3 linked regions of the Pelodiscus sinensis genome follow. The protein of the gene in region 1 interacts with the protein of each later gene in a biochemical or structural test. Links are inferred from orthologs where the notes say so. Each region holds a gene or a part of one and is shown in the gene's direction. Other genes may lie near its edges.

The links. The genes of interacting proteins can lie anywhere in the genome.
Region 2: the proteins of HRAS (region 1) and RASSF5 form a complex in vitro, tested with the Homo sapiens proteins (2 studies listed by BioGRID and IntAct, with this or other methods). The link is inferred for Pelodiscus sinensis from reciprocal best matches to the Homo sapiens genes HRAS and RASSF5.
Region 3: of the proteins of HRAS (region 1) and LZTR1, one has a biochemical effect on the other in vitro, tested with the Homo sapiens proteins (3 studies listed by BioGRID, with this or other methods). The link is inferred for Pelodiscus sinensis from reciprocal best matches to the Homo sapiens genes HRAS and LZTR1.

The regions. Positions count from the first base shown.
Region 1 is NC_134714.1:121,452,003-121,459,399, forward strand, and holds the start of HRAS (GTPase HRas), read left to right. Parts: upstream 1-4,382; 5' UTR 4,383-4,454; intron 4,455-4,502; exon of another isoform or gene 4,503-4,865; intron 4,866-7,397. UniProt on the Homo sapiens protein: Involved in the activation of Ras protein signal transduction. Ras proteins bind GDP/GTP and possess intrinsic GTPase activity.
Region 2 is NC_134737.1:6,050,586-6,057,998, reverse strand, and holds the start of RASSF5 (ras association domain-containing protein 5), read left to right. Parts: upstream 1-4,406; 5' UTR 4,407-4,548; coding exon 4,549-5,140; intron 5,141-7,413. UniProt on the Homo sapiens protein: Potential tumor suppressor. Seems to be involved in lymphocyte adhesion by linking RAP1A activation upon T-cell receptor or chemokine stimulation to integrin activation.
Region 3 is NC_134737.1:16,320,568-16,328,373, reverse strand, and holds the start of LZTR1 (leucine-zipper-like transcriptional regulator 1), read left to right. Parts: upstream 1-4,799; coding exon 4,800-4,984; intron 4,985-5,341; coding exon 5,342-5,404; intron 5,405-7,806. Other genes in the region: IPO9 (importin-9), read left to right, coding at 687-797. UniProt on the Homo sapiens protein: Substrate-specific adapter of a BCR (BTB-CUL3-RBX1) E3 ubiquitin-protein ligase complex that mediates ubiquitination of Ras (K-Ras/KRAS, N-Ras/NRAS and H-Ras/HRAS).

The DNA.
Region 1 (7,397 bases):
CTTACGCACATGCTTGACTTCAAGCAAGAAGCGAAGGAGGTAATATCTTTTATTGAACCAACTTCTGATGGAGAGAGATAAGCTTTTGAGTTATACAGAGCTCTTCTTCAGTGCTGTGTAAGCTTGAAAGCTTGTCTTTCTCACCATCAGAAGTTGGTCCAATAAAGCATTATCTCACCCACCCCATTGATATTCTGGGATCAACATGGTTACAACACTGCAAATAACTTCAAGCATGTGAGCAGTGGGACTACCTGTACTTAACTTAGTGTCCAAAATTTCCCCTTTTCCTAGACCGATTTTGCTAATTGTTTAAATAACATAACAAAATTCAGCCTTACACTCCACCCAATACATCTGAGGATGTTTCTGGGGTTCCCCTTCCCCTCTTTCTATCCCGAACCAGTTTTCTGTGCCCACTCTCACTTCCCAGAGTGGACTTAATGAGCTGCACTTTCCACAATGAGTCATGAGCAATCCGTATTTTCAAAGAAAGTCCCAATACTTGCTGACAGGGTGAGATGATAGAATAACTAAAGCCTGCCTAGTCTACCTTGAGGCAACAAGAACTCTATGGCCAGCCCCACCTCTCAGATCTATGGAGAGGAGCTTTCCCCATTGGACACACTTTGGAAAAGAAGTTTCTAAATATGAAAGTTGATAAAGATGGCAATCAAATTCAGTCCTGGTGTAAGCAAATGCAACTTCCAATGACATCAGCAGGCGTTACACTGGCTTACACTAGAACTGAATTTGGCTCTGTATTTCTAAGAAACCAGCCCTGTTCTGGCACGTATTTCCTTAATTCCTCCTAATGACTGTGTTTCAGTTTTGATCCATGTTGCCAGATAATGCAATGCAAACCTGCTGCCTTACAAGCCTAACAAGGACTTTTATTGACTTGGACCCTCCTGCTTAGATGATGCACGGCCACCAATGAACAAAGAGGAAAAGGTCTCAGCTTCTCTCCTCACCATAGCAACCAAGCACCTTATGCTCAATACTTTTCTGTTTCATAAGCTGGTTGTCATGGCAAATTATGTATGTCAGAGGGAAACAGGAAGCATTCTGTGTTCTCTAAAGAAAACAAAACACATTCTCAAACTTTATTTCTTATTAGTTCACTTTTTGCCACTCTGCAAGTGACCCTTAAGCTTTGGGGAGAGCCTTGCCAATGGTGTGGCCGCAGTCTTCTAAATGTGCTAAAGGTACCCATGATTATTAACTCTGATGCATCTGCAGGCGAGCTGGATTCCAGGAGCCTACGTTATCTGGGAAGAGAAGCAGCAAAATGGTATTGGGGAGTCTGGCATTTTCACCAGAGAGACCAGTTTTCTCCTCACCCTCTGGAGAACCAAATCCTGAAACCATGTGAGGCAAGAAACTGCACGGACCTTTTCTTCCGTCCCCGACCCTTGCAGATGCCTCGATTTCAGTTGCACAGAAGATGCCTATGCACACTACGAGAAGGGACCAAATGAACATGCGGTAGTCACAGGATGGAATCATGGAAATGAGCAATAATGTTCTGCTACCTAAAACAATCAATGTAGCTGGTAAGGGAGAACCCCCTGCTATCCTCTGGGTTCTAGCCCAGGCACAGTTTGAAACAGCTTAGCAACTGCTGCTTCCCAGGGCCACTTTCTTCTACCTTCATCTGCCTCGCAGCCCCTTTCACAGAGCAACTCACTCCAGTGCTTTGTTCCTAGAGAATCCATCTGCTTCCCAGCAGCTTACACTTGATGCAAAGCCATCCCCTTCTACTTGGTTCATAAGCTTTCATCCCAGGGATTCAGCTGCCACCCCACGCTGCAGATGTGTATAACTCTAACCTCTGAGATTTTCATCAGTTACACAGTTACCCAATTACCCACTTTTAAACTTCCCTAGTGGATCAGTGTTCAGTCATAGAAACTGCCATGAAGGCCCCCTGGTTGGCAGTCTAATTGTGACCAGGTCTACACTATGCAGTCACAGCTGTATAAGCAGGTCATGAAAAATCCATACCCCTGAGCGAGAGTTATATGGTCCCAGTCCCTGGTGTAGACAGCATTATGGCTCTCCTTTTGGTGCGTGTGATGGGCCCGCCGAGGCCCACACTAGGACCAACAAGACTCTGCCCACTCTATCAGCAAGAGGGTGGGGCGACACGATGCCAGGAAGCAGCAGCCAGCAGCTGCCGGAGCTGCGCGGATGGCAGAGGGCCATGGTGTGCGGGGGCGGGGCCCCAATACAAACCCGCGGTGCCCCAGAGCAGCGGGACGTTGAAGGGGCAGAGCAGCATCTGTTGGCGGCCAGCGGCGGGCCACTTGAAAAGTCCTGGAGAAGAGGGCAGCGGGGCGGTGCACAAAGTTGGAGGCACCTGTCGCCGCGCTGGGAGCAAAGTCTGCCACCCCAGTGGAGGAGCGGCCTGCATCCCCCGGAAGCTCGGTGCAGAGACCAAAGTGCCAGAGAAGCCGCTGGACAGGTAAGCCCCTTGGATGAACCCAGGGGGGGTCGGTACTCAGGAGGGGGATAGGAAGCAGCCTGGGGCAGAGTGCTTTAGGCGCCCGTGGGCGGCGCGCTTCAGGGTGGAACCCTGTCAGCTGGGTAGGGGTCAAACACGCTGAACCCTTAGGGCCCCGGGCTGGGACCCTGTGGAGAGGGAGGGCCTGGGTCCCCCTAAATCCCCTCCTCCCCCCACACTGCATTCTAATTGCGCATTGAGTACTGCCAGCCAATTGGCCTAGTGGACAGACTGTCATTACTGAGCCCCAAGAGGGGGCAGGACTTAGGGGCTGAGAGACCTCAGGGATTTCCCCTCCCCCTGACCTTTAAGACGGTGGGCTTGCTGGGCCCCACGCTCCTGCCGGCTCATGCCCTTAAGCCCGTCTTACGTGGGTAAACTGAGGTGGTGGGCTCGCAGGGCCCCGCCCTCCTGCCAGAGAGTAGGAGCTCGCGCCCGTAAATCTGCAACAGTATGGAACAGCTTCACTGAAGCACCGCTGCAGTGTTTTACGTGTATACCTTTTATTATGATGGGAGATGCCCAGGAGTGTCCTGATTTGGGAACAGAACAACTCTCTTGTTAGGGCCCTACCCTAGTTGTGGTCCATTTTGGTCAACTTCATGGTCATAAGGTTTAAGCAATCTAAATATCTGATATAACGAAATTTACAATATGAAATTTCATGGTGCTATAATTGTTGGGGTTCTAACTCATTAAGGCACTGGGGGTAGGGTCACAGAACTGCTACTTTTACTTCTGCACAGAGCTGGGTAGCTGCAGAGTGGCAGCTGCTGGCCAGGAGCCCAGGTCTGAAGGAAGAGCTGCACCAGCAGCAATGCAGAAAGATGGCATGACATTGCCACTCTTGCTTCTGCACTACTGCCTGCAGAATTGAGCCATGGGTCAGTAGCCACCACTCTCTGGCCACCCAGCTCTGAAGGCCGCAATGCAGATGTATGAGTGACATGGTATGGTATTGCGAACCTTACTTCAGTGCAGCTGCTGGCAAGGCGCTGCTTCCAAAGCTGGTCACCCAGCCAGCAGCCACCCAACACTCTGGCCACTCAGCTCTGCAGGCAGCATGGAAGTTAAGAGTGGCAAAACCACAATGCCTCGAAAATAACGTTGTGACCTCTCAGCAGCTTCCTTTGTATCAGGACCCCTATCTAATCTGCACCGTGAGATTTGCATAGTATAAGATAAAAGCACAGAAGAGACCAGATTTCATGGGGGGGGAACCAGACTTTATAGTCTGCGACATATTTTTCATGGTTGTGATTTTGAATTTGGTAGGACCCTACCTATTTCTAAATGCCCAGGCCCTTCATGTTCTGTGGCTAAACAAAACTCCATTCTCCAGGGTCTTCCAACAAGCCAGCACCTTTCCCCAGCACTCCATTCAAGTTGAAGAAAAGGGAAGGACAGAAGGAAGGATGCCTTGGTCCCAACCACGCTAAAGCCAGCCCTGGGGTAAATCAGCACAGCTCCACTGAAGTCAATGAGGTTGCTTGAGGGGTGAGGATATGGCCCCCCATATCTGTTTCCTTTAAGGAGTGGGCGAGAAGAGGTGGGAGATCAAAACTCATTCTTAAACAACGTTTGCCTAGGTGTGTCCAGCTGGACCATTTGTGTGCTCCTCGGCCTCTGATGCGTCGGGGGTGATTACAACTCACCCTTGGCGGAACAAGTCCCTGTTGCACCAGGTTATAAAGCATCGGTACCTCCCCGCGTCGCTGGACTCCACGGGCTGGCAACGAGGCGCTAAAAATAAAAGCCGAGGAGCAATTCCCCGCCCGCTGCCGCAGCTTCCCCATAACCCGCCCCGTGCCCCGGCCGAGGCGGCAGCAGGGGGCGGAGGAGAAAGGAGGCGCCGTTCGCCTCGGTGACTGACGCGGCCCGCAGCCCACCAGGAGGGTGGCTCCGCTCCCCGGGGCCCGGAGCGGCCTATCAGCGGCGGCGGGAGGCGGTGAGTGACGGCTGGGCGGGGAGCGGAGCCTGGGCGTGTGCCGCTCGCCGCTGCCGCTGCCGGGGCTCGCCCCTGGTGCACACACACACACACATTGTCCGAGCCGCCGCCGCCGCTGCAGCCCGCGAGCGCCCCAGTGCTCGGTGCCAATGCGGGGAGGGCGCTGCCAGCCGGGGGCTTCTCCACCACCCCGGTGGAAAGTTCGCCTGCTGCTGGGCCCGGCGCGCCGCTGACCCGCCGCCGGGAGGGAAGCAGGATCTGGCCGGGAGGGGGGATTTTTGTTTTGTTTTTGCCTTTTCCCTCCAAACTTTGTGTGCGCCGCTCCCGCAGAAGCCGCCCCCCCGCACTGAGGATTTGCCCCCTCCCCCGGCTCTCTGTCTCGCAAGGAAAGCAGCCTGGGCGGGCGCGCTGGTAAGTGCCCCCCGTCTCCTCCGCTTGGCGGGGCAGCGGGGTTGGCGGGTGGGCTGCCGAAGTGCGGGCAGGGGCGGTGGCGCTGGGCGCGGGGGGAGGAGGAAGTGTCTCTCGGCCCCCTTCCCTCCCCCGCCACCCCCCGGGAGTGCTGAGGGCGGCATTGCAGTGGCCTGGGCAGCGTGTGCCCGGGAGCATGTGTGCGCCGTAAGGGCTGGCGGCTGCAGTCCAGCATTGCAGAGCTGGCTTTGCCTGAGCAGGCGGCGGCGGCGGCTCGGCGGGTCGCTCGCTTGATCCTGCACCAGCTGTACTAGGAGGCTCCAAAGTGAGCTGGGAAGGGCAAACCGCCCCTCTCCGCAATGGGAAAGCGGCTGCCTGTTTTAAAAGTGTGTGTGTTGGGAGGGTGGGGTGCCTGCCAGGTGGGTGGCGAGCGAGCACTTGCATGGGGTGAGACGTGTGTTCACGGCTGTGCTTGTGAGAGGGGGCAGCCGCCAGGGGAGGGGTCACGTCTGTGAAGGGAAAAGCAAGACAACAGTGGGTGTGTCTGGGAAGGGATCTGAGCTGGGGTGAAAGAGCAGCTTTGGCCTTGGATGTGTCGGACGCTGCACCCCGCTGGAAGAAGGTAGTGAGGGGAGACGGAGAGCCACCTGTTAGAGTTTGTGTGTGTGTGGGGGGGGGACTGCATTTTTCTTCCTATATTTCTCTGAGTATTTACAAATGTGTACTCCCTACATCCGCCCGAAGCTTCCCCTTGATTTTCAGACCCTTTTGTTTCCTGCAAATCAGGCCCCAGCAGCTTGCTTGGGAGGCCACAGGGGCGGTTCTCATACCTCCAGATTTAAAAGCTTGTGCACTAGTATCGTGGCAGTCATGTTAACTAATGTGTGTCATCTGGTAATGGTAGAAATGTCTCCTCCTGTATGTCCCAGCCCAATGGCCCTCTAGTAGCTGTGGCATTCCACATCCCTCTGCACCTTTTGCACCAGGGAGCCAGTCGCCCTGAGATCTTAGGGTTGCTGATGACTTGTGTGCTTTCTTCTTAGCTTCCTTTCTGGTTGCCAAAATCTGGCAGGGTTTCCAAACGGGAAAGGAAGGGAGGGGGAGAATCACCTGCTGTCCTGCCCTCCCAGTCTTACAATGACTGTGCTTTCTGTAAACACTTCCTGCCAATCCAGAAAACATGGGGAAATACATGGGAGGGGCCCTGCATCCTCCAGGAGAAGGCAACAGCCTGCTGTCACGTTTCCTTTCCCTATTTTTTCCCCTGCCTCGCTCGTTTTTCATCCCTCCCAGATCCCTGGGTATCTCTCTACTGATGCCTGCAGTGATATCACTGTCGGCAGCAGCTTAGGGAGTGGTCTATGCTGATAGCACAGCAAGACTTCTAATAGCAGAGCCTGGGTGGTCACTGTTCTTTCAAGTCCTGTGCCATTGAATTGCTGCAGTAATAATAACTCCTCTGTCTGTCTTTCATTCCAGAGGAGGTCCTGCAGTCCTTTAAAAGGCAGGGGTTAAAACAGAATGCTGGGTTTTTTTGGGGGGTGGGACAGGAGAAAGAAATCTTTCAAGGATCCTTCTAGGGTGTGTCTTGCTTTCTAGCCTCAAGTGTTATGCCATGGCCACCCACAGGAAGAGGAGGGATGGACATAACTCCCCATGATATGTCACTTGGGAATAATGTCAGGGGAAACTCTTCAGAACCTTCTATAGCCTCAGGGTGAGGCTTCCTGTCTCTGCAGTTGGGAGGGAAAGCCATATGGAAGTCTGAGTGGGGATTAGCAAACTCCGAATGGCTGATGGTTAGCTCTTGAAATGCCTTGCACAGCATTTATACAGTACATCACTGTGGGGCGCACACTAGGGGGTAATGATGCTGAGATTTTCAAAGAAGCCTTTGAATTAGGTGCGAAACTCTCTTGGACCTGGCCTGCACTCAGTTGTTCCAGTTTAACCGCAGGGGTGCTTTTAAACTGACTGAAAAAGGTGCGAACACTTGAGTTGGAAGGATAGGACATTCCTTGTATTGGGCTGAGCTTATTATAAATGAATTTTGCTTGTGTTGGTAAATTTTACAGGTGAGCTAAATTGATGTAACCTATTCTAAATTGGTAGAAGTGTGTCCACAAAGGGTCTGCCATGGTGTAACTAAGTAGTTGTTAAGAGAGCTTTAGCCTCCTTTGAAAATCATAGCCTAAATGTGCAAGAAAATTATGCAAAGAGGAGGGCTGGCTGGCTCCAGGGGTTGGAGATGCGATGCAGATCTTTTATATCTGTAAGAGCTTGTCTACACTGGGATTTTAGCCAGGGATGTTGTACTGCTTCAACAATCCCATCCCAGCATAGATGCATTGCACTTGTTTAAATGCAGTGGTTGCAGCAGATGAGGTCATAGAGTTTAAGGCCAGAAGGGAACACTAGATCATCTAGACCAGGGGTGGGGAGCCTTTTTTGAGTCAGGGGCCACTGACCCAGAGAGAAATCAGTAGGAAGGTCGCACACAAGTGAGAAGCAGAACAAAATACCCCTGTGGGCCCC
Region 2 (7,413 bases), on another chromosome or scaffold:
ATAGCTTTAAGCGTCATCTCAGAGGTTGCCATATTTTTGTTGGGGGCAAAGCAATTCATCTGTAGAACTGATATATCTGTTTAAATGTGCAGAAGACTACACAGCCCTACAGAAATATTAATTCACTCAATTCTCTTCCATCTTTCAGGTAAATAAATTTTCCCACTTCCCTGGTAGGGAAACTAAGGCAAAGAGGTTAAGTGATCTGCACAAGGTCACATACAAAATCAATATCAGAACAAGGTTGGAAACTCGAATTCCTGAGTCTTGGTCCTGTGTGTTGGTCAAGAGACCCAGTATTAACAGGACAAGAGACACATGAGAAGTGAATTCTTACAGTTCAGCAACCCCATAATTACAAAGGACACACTCAGTTTCCCCCATTGGGTTCTGACACACAATTGCATATGAAGTAAAACTGTTCGATTGACTTTTCTTGGGGCCCATGTATATTTATTTTAAGTTCTATTTTTTTTTTCAAATCTCATACAACACAAGTTCAATCTCTTATGAAGAAGCCTTCACATAACATGCGCTAGCCTGTCACAAATATTCCCCACGTTTTTTCTTTTACTGGATTGGGTGGGTGGGTTGGCTGTAGCTATGTTGTAACTGTCGCTTGAGCGCAAAACAGCCCTTTGTTGCATAGAAAAGAGAGGTTGCTTGTGATGATGATAAAATGAACAGGGGAGAAGGGATTTTAAGAAAACATAGGGCAGGGGGGACCAACTTCGTGCTAAAATGAAGAATGAAACTAGAATGTTGCAAGCTGGACTGCTGTTTGATAACTGACTTGAGCATCATGCTATGTATGTGCTATTATGGCACTATTAGCTTGTAACACAGATCTCCCAGCGCTTTTTGGGGTTAAATATCTGATTCATCCCTAACTCCCTTGAGAAACAGACACATGAGAACAAATTTACCCTCCACTATAGCAAATGAAAAGCAATTATCTCTGATTATCCTCTCCCTGGAACCCATGTAATTTAGGAGTAACTCCACTGACAACTATTTAAGAGTAATGCCACTGAAGTTTACACCAGTTTTACACCCATATGAGAGAAATTACACCACAAAGAAAAAGTAGTGCGGTAATAGTAGCCTGGGACCTGGAAGACCAAATTCAATCTATGCTCTACTGCCTACTTGTCATGTGGTCTTGGCCAAAAATTTTAAGTGGCTAGTGATTTTGAAGATCTGATTGTTTAAACATCCAACTTGAGATGCCGTAAAGGGTCAAAAATTGTGGAGCATTCACCTTCTGATAATCTGACCCTTTAAGGCATCTATCCTGTTAGACACCCAGACTAATTAGTCATTTCTGAAAAACTTAGACTAATTACTCTCTCTCTACCTCAGTCACGCTGTCTGTAAAATGGGAACAGTAGCTGCCTCATGGGCATTTAGTGAGCCTTCAGTGATGTTCAGGAAGTACTTGGTGTTCCCTAGTTGAGAAGCACTGTAGGCAGCACAATATTACATTTAATGTTCAATTAGCCTTTGTTCTGTTTCTCTTGATACAAAAGGCATAGAAAAGAATGAGTTTTGCCAAGCGGCAATTGTAGGAAGACTAAAGGAGGATATGATAGGGGTCTATAAAATCATGACTGGTGTGGAGAAAGTAAATAAGAAAAAGTTATCATTTCTATAACACAAAAACTAGGGGTCACCAAATGAAATTAATAGCTGGTTTAAAACAAAGGAAATATTTATTCACACAATGCACAGTCAACCTGTGGTACTCCTTGTGAAGGTCAAGACAATAACAAAAGAGCTAGATAGATTCATGGAGGTTAGGTCTATCAATGGCTATTAGCCAGATGGGCAGGGATGGTGGCCCTAGCATCTGTTTGTCAGAAGCTGAAAATGGGCAACAGGAGATTGATCACTTGATGATTCCCTGTTCTGTTCATTCCCTCTGGGAGCATCTGCAATGGGCAACTGTGGAAAGACAGGATACTGGGCTAGATGGACCTTTGGCTTGCTCCAGTATGGATGCTCTTATGTTAATGGATTTTGGCCCCTCCCTCAAAAGTTTTTTAAAAGCAAAAGAAGCATTTCAGGGATATTTTAAAATTCAAATTGAAACCTGAAACAAAAAGGGTCCTCAACAACCCCCCCCCCCCCGCAAATATTATTTAATTCTGCTTCCAGCTAGGTCGGGGTGAGTTGGGGTGAGGAAACTTTTTTGGGTTGGGGGCCACTGACCCACAGAAAAATTAGTCGGGGGCCACACACAAGTGAGAAACAACAACCAAAAAACCTCACCAATGTGGCCTCCGACTGTGAAGGAGAAAGACCCTCCCTCCCTTCCCCTCACACACTAGAGCCTAGATGGGCCCAGGCTAGATTTTGGGTGCTCCAACCCCACAGGAGGATGGCAGAGAAGGGAGCTGGAGGGGGGAGCCCTGAGCCTTTGGGGTCTGATCCAGGCAAGCCACAGGCCACATCCAACCCCCAGGCCTTAGGTTTCTCACCCCTGAGCTAGGTCATGCTAGCACCAGAAGCTGTCTGCAATGGCAAGTGGCTGGGTTTATTTTCACTTGTCTTGCAGGGAATGAAACACATACACAAAAACAGCAGTAAAGCCTTTTAAACTTGGGAGCCCAAAGTTAGGCACCTAAGTAAATGGTTTGATTTTTGTTTTCTTCTTCCAGAGGCTCTTGAGCAGATGCTGTTCCCATTCCATTGACTGGACATTCAGGGGCAAGGGGCATTCACAAAGTGTCTTTCATACGGAGTTAGGCATCTAACAGCAAGTACCCAAGAGAATATTTTGGTGCACCATGAAAATGAGCATTTAAATAAACAAGTGATTGCAATAAAGGTGGAAAATTAAATGATTGTCTAGACCAGGCGCACAAACGCTGTACAAACAGAACAACAGGACAGTCTGGGCCCCAAAGAGCTTATAGTCTACCTATAAAATAAGTGGATACAAACCTACAAGGGAGGACAAGGAAACAGAGAAAATATTGGTTCACTTAATTGGCAATGGTTCAGCTCACCAGCTGCAGCGTGTCCCTGTATGTGTATAAAAATACAGGTCTGTAGAAGCTGAATGTTTAGTAAAGACTGTAATTTACTTTATTAATAAATATAAATTAGCCATTCAAAAATTCATCTCCAAAACCAGTGTTGCATTTTTGTACAGTTTCCTGTTGAAGTGTTGAGGAAAGTGCAGTTAATGGGCCCAAATGTGGTGCAGAGGTGAGCTTTAGTAATGGAGGGGAAGGAAGCAGTGCTGTAAACTCTCTATAGCCCTTACGGTTATTTATCTCTGTGTTTTAAAAAGAGCTTTATCTAACCCAGCAGTGGGCAACCTGCAGCCTGCGGGCCACATGTAGCCCATGCACCTGCTTTCCCCGTGCCTCCGGGGTCCTGCACTTACCTACTCCTCCCCCTTCCTCCCAGCACTTCCAGAGAGCCACAAATTGGCTGCTCTTCTTCCAACCTCCCAGGGCTAGAACACCATGAAGTCCTGGGTGAGGGGCTGGAGCAGGGACCCGAAGCACTTGGGAGAGGAGGCAGGGAAGAGGCCGGATAAAGAATTGATATTGTGTGAATTGTTTCTTTTTTATTATTTGAAGTTGAGGACCACTCTGTTAATCCATGAATGATTAAAGCATTTCAACTTGTTTTGAAATATGCTGCATATTAACATATTTAATCTTATTCTTGGGGTCATGATTAATGCATGCGGGTTTATTTCAGTCTTGCAGCCCGCTCATTAACTGTGTGTGCTACCCCCCAGGGGCACAAACGGATTCCCCACTTATTGAAGAAATTGTGGTGGTACTTTGCAAAATCCCACTAGGTGCTTAAATACCTTTTTAAGCCTCTGCCCATAACATCCTGTTGTCAAAAGTGGCCTGGGCCCTCAGCAGCCTAAAACTTGTGTGGCTTTTTATTTCCCTCACTGCCTAAGTCACTTCTGGGCAAGGACGGGAGCCCTTAGATCAGTGAAAAAAATTCCCCTTTCAGGCAGGCATCGGCTGGGCATTGCTGGGAGGACTGGTAGCCGCGTTTGAATTCCTGTCTCCTTTCTTTGTAAACAGGTGCCTGGCCGGGGCATGCAGGCATGGGTGTAAGTACACACAGGTGCCCCCTATGCAGCAGTGCTGAAAAGTAACTTTCAATTTCCCACAGGTGTGGTCCTACTGCAACCGGGCTCCTTGCCAGTTGTTTCAATAGCTCCCTGCTGGGTTCTGCCCCGGCTCTTAGCAGAGCTGCGCCCCCCTTCCCTGTCCCCTCCGGTTTGTGGGGTCTGCGCCCCGGTTTGCACGCGCGGTGGGGCAGGGACTGTGCCTGGAACGAAGGGCGTTTCCCCCAGCGCAGTGGGGCTGGGTGCCTGATTGGCTGGTGCCGCAGCGGCTGCTCCAATCTCAGGCTCGCGGCGGGTTTCGCGTGTCCCTGTGTGTTTAACGGGGCCTCCCACTGCAGCGGCGCTCGCAAGCGGCTACGCCAGCGGCGCTTCCAGGTGGCTCCCCCCCTTGTCTCTCCAATTCACCCCTGCGCTCCGCCGGGCCGCGGCTCGCTCGGGCCATGGCCTCCCCGGCCATCGGGCCGTGCCCCTGCCCGCTGCTCCTGGACAAAGAGCAGCAGCTCTTCCTGCAGAGCCTGAGCGCCCACGAGAGGAAGAAGATCCTCAAGCGCTCGGCGTCCGCGGACGCGAAGCCGCGGAGGCGGCAGGGGACCCTGCCCCAGCAGCGGGGCGCGGCGCCGGAGGATGCTCCGCCGGCGCAAGTGGCTGCAAGCGGCGGGGCGCCCGCGGACGGGGCGCGCCCGGGAGACGGGAGGTTCCCTGGCACCGCGGAGGAGCCCGGGCGCACGGCGCTAGCTGCGTGCTCTGCCGCGCAGCCCTGGGAGCCGGGGGGCAGCGCCGGAGCCCCCAGCCCGCCGGACTCCCCCGGCTCGGCCAAGCCGGCCCGCTCCGGGCTGCTCCACCTGCGCCTGCGGCGGCGCTCCGGGGCGCCGCGCCTGCTGCCCGACGTGCGGACCATCTTCGAGCAGCCCCGGGACCCCCGCGTGCGGCAGGAGACGGGCGAAGGGCACCGCTTCCAAACCTTCGCGCTCTGCAGCGGCTGGTGCGACCTGTGCGGGCAGGCGGTGCAGCAGCGAGTCCTGCGCTGCGCCAGTAAGTGTCTCTTCTCCCCCCTCCCCAGCTCCCTCCTGGCAGGTGACCGATCGCTTCCCTTGGCATCCCCCACCGCCCCCCTTCTCACTGCAGATGTCTGACCCGCCCCTCCTTGCACTGATCGGCAGCCCCTCTCGGTGCGAAATTGAATCACATCCCAACCCCTCTGCCCCCTGACAGGAGTGGGATCCCTGCTCCCCCCCCCCCCCCGCTGGTGTCTGACAGTGACAGGTGGTCTCCACAGCCCCCTGCCCTACACGCTCCTGAGGGCATCCGGAGAGCGTGTGTGTGTGTATGTAAGAGCACAGCGCATTGCCTGAGAAGGGATAATCCGGGCAACCTGGTTGCATCTAATCAGAAATCGTTTAAAGCAGTTAAATTCCCCTAGGAGAGCACCTGTGTTTGATGACAAAGGTTACTTCAGGGTGCCAGTGGTGGTATGTATATTAGAGGGGAGCTGTTTCTTTCACAGGCTTCAAACCTTGAGTAACCTCCCAGCTGTGGAATATATTTCCCCCTCATTTTTTTCTCTATAGCTTGTTGGTTTATTAACCCTATTACATACCAAGGTATTTACCTTCATCTGCAACTTTGACAGCATTGTATGCCTTGCCCTTTGCCCCACTGACAAATGACCTGATACTCAGACAATGTATTTGCTGATGTATGCTTGATTTAAGTCACTTGTTTTATCTCTTCAGGAGCTGTAAAGGCTTGCTAAGTACATAGCTGTGTTGAAGGATGACAGATAATGGTTTGATGCATGGAGCTCTGTTGCTGGTTTATTGGGATCTAATGTAATATTGTCTATAAAACACTATTGATTTGCTACCACTATAGATAGATAGATAGATTAGTCTGATGAGTTTTTGAGTCTGGCAGAGAAAAATGTGTGTGTGTCTATCATGCCATAGTCATGAGCTCCTTCAGGAGTTCATTTTGCTCACTAGCGCATAACACTGATCATCTTGGTTTTAAGATTTAGAGTAGCTGTGCTGTGAGTTCTGGTGATGTTTGATAAGTCTTTTCTCATCCTGTTCATGCACGTTTTGGGAAGGTGCAAATTCACAGAGTAATCACAACGATAGTGTTGTAAGATGTTCCTACCTTCATTATAGAATTTTCATCATTTAATGATCTGGGTTCATTCAGCTCATCCCTGCTGGTAAAGAGGTCTTGCTCTGATCTCAGTTGGAGTTGCACCTGCTTATGGGACATAATCCCTAGAATGCAGGGGTGTATCTGAATTGTTGCATGAGGTATATTTTTCTGCCAAGATGCCATTATAGCAATGTAAGGGCATTTCTCAATAAGCTGAATGATACACTGGGGGTTGGAGGAGGGTTGATTGAACTTAATTGTCAGCGTGGAACTGCTGATGGTGTCAAGGGAACTTAGATTATTGATTTTTTTTAATTGACTCTCTTGTATAGTAATCAAAGCTTAATATTTGATGGAGTGACTGGGTGCAGATTTTCTGCTGCCCAGCGCTGGCTCTAAATTAAATGGTTCATTTTCTTTCTTCCCTTCCCCTTTTTGTAGCTGATGAATATGCTTTCATGTTCAGTTTTGAATGGACATTCACTCTGTCTGGGCATTAACATTAATTTAAGGAACTGAAAATTACTTTTTCCTGTTACTCCTCATAATTGTTAATATGGTTACAGAGGTAGCGAGGACAGTAATTAAATTTCTCTTGCCAAAAGATGGCACTGATAACCTGTGAAGCACTGGATTGGAATTTTTTAAAAGCAGCTAAACATTTCTGCAATGACTTCTTTTGTCCTGCATTGTCCGTTGTTCCTAACCCCACCTTGTGCAGCACATAGAATCTCATAAAGTATAATATTCCAAAGCACATCATGATTAGATAAACTGCTCTTCAAAATGAACAGGTTCTAGCATAGGATTGCATGCTTCAGAGGTTAACATTGACACTGCTGCTCAGTCTGTGCTGATGTACATATTCAAATCTAAATTACCTGTGTAGTAGACACTGATCGAGAAGGAGGGAGTTCTCTTCCTTAAATTCACTCTGGTGGTTGGCTTCATTAATAGCTTATGGGAAATACCTAGTTACTAACTAAAGAAACTGAGACCAGATACCTCTATGTGAACTAATAAAATGTGAATATCATTTTTAAAAATAATTAGAACAGGGTCCTTGTTCATCTTAAAACATCTGGGATCTGGAAAAGGAAGCATGTAGGGAGTTGAAGTATCTTGATTGGGTGTTTTTCCTACTCCAGTACCTGAGGAATTTCCAGCAGGCT
Region 3 (7,806 bases), on another chromosome or scaffold:
CTGCCTGCTTTTATCCTTCCAACTGTTGTCCTCTTCCCTCCGTCTACTGTAACCTCCTTTCACCACGTTTCCCCTTATTCCTCAGCCCTCTGCGGCAGCCTGTTTTCTTCTGACTTCTGGTGAGGGGATGAACAATGTGAAATTTTCATTACGGAAAAACTAAGCATGTATTTAAGAAGGAAACTGCTGGACTAAAGTGTATTAAGTTATGTCATAGTTTGTCAGGGAACAACAGAAGCTTTGTCATTTGTGACTTTTTGAACTAGCTGTGACACAATACATTCTGCTACAGGGAAGTCCTGGGTTGTGGGGAGATGGAGTGAGTAATCAGTCAGAATCTAGGAAACAGATTGTAATAATGCTTCTTTCCACTGCAGAGCGTACTCATAGACACCTCCCAATGCTCTGTCTTGAGTAAATGATCTGACTGGCTCTGTGTTCCCTGACCTATGCCTTGGTTAGAGCTTGGGAACCCCATTTGGCTTGGTCTGTTTGGCATGTACTTAGACCATACTGCATTAGGCATCTGTCTTATTAGCTGAGCACAGTATCCCTTTCCCCTCCACTCTTCGTTTGTGCTCGTTCACTTTGTCTTCTCTCACATTATGCAATTGTAATGTCCAAAGTAAAGCAATGATAGATGTATTGAAATATGTTAACTATGTCCTTTGTCATCTACCTTCTAGGCTTATCTCACTGATTTCCTCTGTCAGTTTGCACAGCAGCCTTGCTATGCAATGTTCTCAGACCATCTCAATGAGAATGAGAGAAGAGTGCTTCAGGCCATTGGCATATGAACTGTATTGACATAGCTGGACAATATTTTTCTAGCTTATTCCATGTTTTGTGATTAAACATGAAACTTTTTCCAGTGTTCACCTGTTACAGATGTGATCTTCCTCATCCCGAAGTATTGAGCTTTGTCTTACCATGACTCTGTAAAGGGAAGGATTATTGAGAACACCGAAGACAAGACTGAGCTTTGCACTCTATCACCAGGGGAACACTTTTGTTTTCCACCAAAACAACAAAAAACAAAAAAACACCTTTCCAGGAGGTCCTTAAAATAATGTGTCCTTAAATATTTTTTAAAAACTTTATATTTGCCTCTGAAGAGGCATATAACTGAGTTTCACACAACACAGTTGGACAAAATGAGAGCGGAATCAGGTCTTTTGTAGGTTGCTTGGATGTATTTTGAGACTTTGAAAGTTTTGTTTTTCTTCGCACTTGCATAACACTTAACAGGGTAAAATGTTGATCTTACCATGTGACTTTTCTATAAAACTACAGACACTTTTATCAAAGAGATGCCTAAACAATATGGACTCTGTTTACAAGAATTTGGATTGGAAGCTGTAATAAAACTAAATGAACATCTTGTTTCGTATTGTGGGTGGGAGTTTCTATCTAGTCTTTAACTTTGCAACTTTGCGAAAGCTTTTGTATGCACATGCTGACAGGAAGCTACCACTTCAGTCTTAATTCTGGTGGAATGTGGCTACTGAAGACTGGTTTTACTCAATACAAACCATCATAATTGTTTAGGGAGAAAATACATGTAACTTCTTTATTCCATAAAACTGGTTCTCTGAAATACTTCACTACTTCCTTCACACTACTGAGATGTATATGAAGTGGGCAAGCTATAGTCCACAAATTAGTATGTGTATTTTTATAGGATGGTAAAATAACATTACAGACTTATTTATGCAAATATACAGAGCAATGTATCTCATAAAACTTCTTTGCCTATTGTTCCCTATTGGGGAAAACGAAGATAAAAGTACTAAAATATATCCTAGCATGAACAGATTCATAGAAGGAAATAATTAAATTTTTTACACATTTGCCCGTTAAAGCTTCTCCTTTAATTGTTCCCTAGAGACTATTCACCTGGTTTGCTATTGGCCCTCTAGGCAGGAGGGGAAACCTGTAACTGCCTCTGCAGCTTTCATATCTTTTTAGGCAGAATGAGAACCATTTTCCTGTATGGTCCATCAGTTAACTCTCTTCTGTTGGTCTTTTAGTTTGGGAGGTGGGAGTTATAAAGGAACCTAGTACAAGGCCGTACGTCTTCACAAAGCTTGTATGACCTCAAGCCCTGCTGAACTTACTAAGATGTGGCTCTTCTTTTCCTCAGCTGAAATAAAAATTAACTCTCCTTTTTAGTAACCCAGGGAAAGCTGATGCTCCTAGTTTATTTGTTAATGTTAACATTTAAAAAAATGCAACAGGACTGCCCCGACCTTCCTGAAGCAATGATGGAAGGAGAAGAGACACTACATTCTGTCATTGCATGTGAATGGAGTAAAAAGGGTTGAGTGCTGTAGGATATCTTCTGCAATATCTGACTTGTGTGCCAAACTTGCTTTCTCAGTCTCTCTCTCTCTCTCTGAAATCCTGAGGTTAACTGTGCTGAAGAATCAGATGGTTCTTTCCTGAAATTAGTAATAGAAGATACATAATGCTGTAGCATTTCTTTAGCATGATAGCTGATGAAGTTTTGCTCCTGAATGTTAAGAGGGCCTGTTGTAAAACACTGGTGCCCTGGTGCTGAAAATGTAAGGCATATCTCAACTACACGGAATGCAGGAAGGAGCCATCAGATATTGCTTGATGATATCCCATACACTGGAAACAGGGCTCTAAAATAGTCATGCACACTTCCAGGTAAGTGAAGGGCCAGATGTTTGAGGGTAGCAGTGTGTTTTGTGGCATGGAAATGAAGTATGTTAACTAACGAGTAATATACTAGTTGAGAAGATGATAGAATTTCCATTGACTTAGTCCATAGGCACTTCCACATTCTTTCTTTGAAATGTACAAGAGCCCCAAGAGGGGCTCTTGTACATTTCAAAGGAGGAATGCAGAACTGGGTGTGCAGCCCAAGGCCTGCAGGAAGTCCTGCTGACTCTGGGCTCCATGAGGGTGCTTACCCTTTGAAATGCACAAGAGCAGTGCGCCAGCTTTGAAATGTACAAGAGTCCCCAGCAGGGGGCTCCTGTGTATTTCAAAGCAGAAACACCTGCCTGGGGTCAGCGGGGGACTCAGTCTCCCACTGACCCCAGGCACCATGCTGTGCTCCCAGTTTGAAATGACATGTGGAGCCTGGAGTCAGCTGGGGACCCCAGGATCTGCACAGCATTCCCTAGAACCCGGGATCAGCTGACCCCAGGCTCTGCATGCTTTGAAATGCTGTGCTGGCGCCCGGGATCAGTCCCTAGCTGATCCTGGGCTCTGCTGGCATTTCAGAGTGGCAGTGCTGCATGGAGCCTGGGATCAGCAAGGGAGTCTCCAGCTGACCCCAGGCTCCATGTGGGGTTGCCATTCTGAAACACCGGCGTTTCAAAGGGGTAGCACCACATGGAGCCTGGGCGTGGGCTCCATGTGAGGCTGCCACTTTGAAGTTACCTTCTCTTCTCTCTCCCTTGTTGCCCCTACCTGTAGAGGCAGCAGGGGAGGGGGAATTGACTAGTCCTTTACATCTTCATAGTTGTTAAACTTATTTCTGGTTTATAATCCAGTTTGTAACTTCTAATTTATGCTAGAAATGTGGTCTAACATAAATCTCTAATGTCCTCTACAGTGCTGTGGGGGAGGGCATTAGAACAGCCTGCCCACCTCCAAGGTTTTCCAGTAAAGCCTGTGGTATGGGGCTTATTCTGGGTCTAAGTGTAACTGGGGATTTGGGGTAGGAAGGAAAAAAACGAAATGCTCCAGTGTCTGTCCCTTTGAGCTGTAATAAGGCAGTGCATTCAGTTCTGGGCACCAATGTACTGATGGACAACAGGGCTCTTGTAGGAGAGTGACAGAAATGATCCGGGGCTGTGTTAGGAGGGAATGACCAGAAAAGGTACATAGATACCTGTTAGCTGATTGATGCCTAGGGAGAGAGAGCACAAGTAGGATTGTTGAATATGGCAAAGCATGGGGGGAGGAAAATCATTAGGAATAACTGAATTCACTTAAGAAAAGGAGGGAAACACTTAGGTAGTAGATGAGGAAAAATTTTGTGTACCTGCCATGCTATAGTGACTAATCTCCAGGTGGGTGGTGGTCTGGGAATGAGGACCGGTCTGAGTTCCAGTCTTTCCCAGCCCTACTGGACTATCGGGGTTGGGAGAGATTTTGCTGGAGCCGTGTTTGTGTAGGAATAGCTATTGCTTCAGAACTGGTTGGATACCAGGGTGCTCCAGGGTTGGGGTTGCAGTAAGCAGGGGCGCTACCTTTCCATGGAAATCACCTAGATTTCAGATCTTGAAATAAATTCCCAGATAGGGTTGCTAGGTGTTCAGTTTTGAACCAGACCGTCCAGTATTTGAGCTTTCTGGTTGGGAAACAAATTGAGAAAATAGAAATGTCCGGTATTTTCTAAATTAGATGCCCTGTAGATTGTAATGTCAGGGCAAGTGCGTCGGGTATTTTTGTTTAAACCATGTGACAACCCTATTCCCAAATGTGTTGGGGGAAGGGTCTGAAAGCAGCGCGGCCAGCTGGCGCCGTTCTACCTGGGCCTGGTAACACGCTCTTGCTCCAAACGCCACCTGAGCGCCCCAGGAATTCCCTGGCTCCAGCCCGCCAGTCCCTGCACCTGCCTGGCGTGGCGCGTGGGGGGAGGCCCCTAGCCCACGTGTGCCGATGCCCCGCCCCCTCCCCAAGTGTCCGGGAGCCAGCAGCCTCTGTCTGTCGCCCAAGACGCGGGGCATGCTGGGAGTTGCAGTCTCTTGGTGGCGCGGGGCACGCTGGACCGCCGGCGCTGCTGCGCATGCGCCGGGCTGTGGGTCCGGGCCTTCCTGATGGCGATGGCGGCGGTCGGGGTCCCCTCCGTGGCGGGGCCCGGGAGCTCCAAGGTGGCGCCCAGCGTGGACTTTGACCACAGCTGCTCGGACAGCGTGGAGTATCTGACCCTCAACTTCGGGCCCTTCGAGACCGTGCACCGCTGGCGCCGCCTGCCGCCGTGCGACGAGTTCGTGGGGGCCAGGTGAGGCGGCGGAGGAGCGCGCGCCGGGCGGGACGGCGCCGAGGGGCCAGGGACTGAGGGGGCGGGGCTGGCGCTGAGGGGCCAGGGACTGAGGGGGCGGGGCTGGTGCTGAGGGGCCAGGGAAGAGGGGCGGGGCTGGGGCTGGCGCTGAGGGGCCAGGGACTGAGGGGGCGGGGCTGGAGCTGAGGGGCCAGGGGAGAGGGGCGGGGCTGGGGCTGGCGCTGAGGGGCCAGGGACTGAGGGGGCGGGGCTGGTGCTGAGGGGCCAGGGAAGAGGGGCGGGGCTGAAGGGTCTTGGGAGAGCGGCTGGGTCAGGGTGACGACTCCCCAAGTCTGACAGACTCTCTCTCTCTCTCAGGCGCAGTAAACACACTGTGGTTGCCTATCGGGATGCCATCTATGTGTTTGGTGGTGATAATGGGTAAGTGTTCCTGCCTTGGCTGGCCCCAGTAATGTTGGTGCCAGGCAGCTTCCCTGCTGGTCCTGCTCCTGTCACGCTTGTTAATGTTAGATGGAGGCTGTGCAGCCACTGAGCTTTAGACTGAACATTCTGTAGAGTGGACATGCAGGTTGTATTGACAACCCACAATTCTATTGTTACTAGGGTTTGGGACTTTTTAAGTGATTCTGTACCTGTGGCTACTCTGTGACACTTGTATTATAGCAGCATCCTACTCAGCTGTTTACTGTCACCATCTAGCCCTTTCAGTTGCAGACAAGGCACTCTTATTCAGTCCTTTGTCCCCTCAAGATTAGGTGTCAAAGGTGCTGCACTTCAAACCAGTCTGATCCTATGCTTGTGCAGAATTGAGCAGGCTTCCTCACTAGAAGTATGAGACACTAGTACTTTGGGCTCTTCACTGGTTATCTGTTTGTCTCCTGGTCTAGCTTATAAGGTGATTATGATTTCTAAAGCTTATCTGAAAGAGTGCTTCTCTCCATCAGTCATACTGCCAGGTCAGCAGGAGCTGGAACCCTCCTCTTTTAGCTCTCCCTTAAAAGAAGGGTCAGAGGCTATCAGGGAATTCTCAGTGAAGTGTCTGAGGCTCTCTTGTTTCCTCACATTGGTCTGAAATAGGCTGAATGTAGTGATCTTTGTGGTAGGGATGTGAAAGATTCATTGGCAAGCATCACCCTTAAAAGCTGATGCTTACTGGTTCTGATTAACTGGTGGGGCCTGGAATAAGGCATGCTAGTGACTAATCATCTAGTCGACTGACCAATAAGCAGGAGCTTATCGATTAGAATTATTCATTAATCGCATCCCCCCCAGCTGGTGCTCTGCATTGCACAGCCTGGGGAAGCCATTTGTGAAGGAGCTGAGTTGGTCCCTGCTCCACGCATTTTTTTTTTCATTTTTCAGCACACACCAGCGCTAGCTGCCGCTCTGCATTGCCCGGTCTAAGGAAGCCACTCAGTCGGTCCCTGCTCCACTCATTTCTTTTCATTCAGCCGTGTGTGTGTGTGTGTGTGTGTGTGTGTGTGTGGTTTAAGAATGTTAAATATCGGTTAATTTACTAGTCAAGTAGTCGATGGAATTTCCATCCACTTGTCGATAGGCACTTCTATGTTCCTCCTTTGAAAATCCCAGCTGACCTGGGGCTCCATGCAGTGCTGCCGCTTTGAAACACTATACCAGGTCAGCTGTGCAACACTGCCTTTGAAGTACCTCCTCTTCCTTCTCCTTTTGCTGCCTCTATCCAATAGAGGCAGCAAGGGGGCGGGGAATCGATTAGTCAACTCAACTATCCGTTAAGCATTTGCTTATTGGATAGTCAACTAGTCGACTAGTCCTTAACATCCTTAGTGTGGTGATGAATGAAAAGAAATGCTTGGAACAGGGACCGACTCAGCGCCTTCGCTGATGGCTTCCCTAAGCTGTGCAGTGCAGAGCAGCAGCTGAGAAGGTTATGCTGTGAACTGGCATTAGCCAAACTGAGTGCTGGTATTGCCTAACCCTTCTCGACTAGTCGACAGAAAATCTGTTGACTAATCAATTAGAAAAGTAATCACAGGGGGCTGCTCTAGTCCTGAGGAGCATGATGAGGACAGAGGCTGCTCTGGGAATACGGAGCTTCCTCTGTCTGCATCAGGTCCGGGTGCATCGCAGGCAGAACCTGCTGCAAGAATCCAGCTGTCTACCCAGCTCCTTTTTGCTCAAAAGCCTCTTGCACAAAAATGGCTGCTAATTAATTATGCAAAAGAAGCACATTCTACTCTGCACTTCATTTGCATAAGCTTTTGTGGAAGAAGGCTGCAATAGAGATGTAGCCGTGGGGTGGTAGATGGAATGTACATCCCCATCTTGGCACCCAACCACCTTGTAAAGGAATATATAAACCACAAGGGTACTTCTTGATGGTGCTGCAGGCACATGTGGATCTTAAGGGCTGCTTCACTGACATCAGAGTGGGATGGTTGGGAAAGGTGCTAGATGTGCACATCTTTAGGAACTCTCCTCTCTTTAAAAAGCTTCAAGCTGGAACTTTCTTCCCAGACCAGAAAATTAACATCAGAAGCATTGAAATGCCAATAGTGATTCTTGGAGACCCAGCCTATCCCTTGCTTCCGTGGCTCATGAAGCCCTACACAGGAAGCCTGGACACAATAAGGAGCAGTTTGACTACAAGCTGAGCAAGAGCAGAATGGTGGTAGAATGTGTGCTTTTGGGTGTGTAAAGGGAATGTTTTGGAGTCTGACCTATTAAAAGCAACATTCCCATTGTTGTGGCAGCCTGCTGTGTGCTCCATAATATTTGTGAGAAGAAGGGGGAAAGTTATGTGTCAGGGTTGGGGGCTGAGGTGCAGACCTAGCCAGTGATTA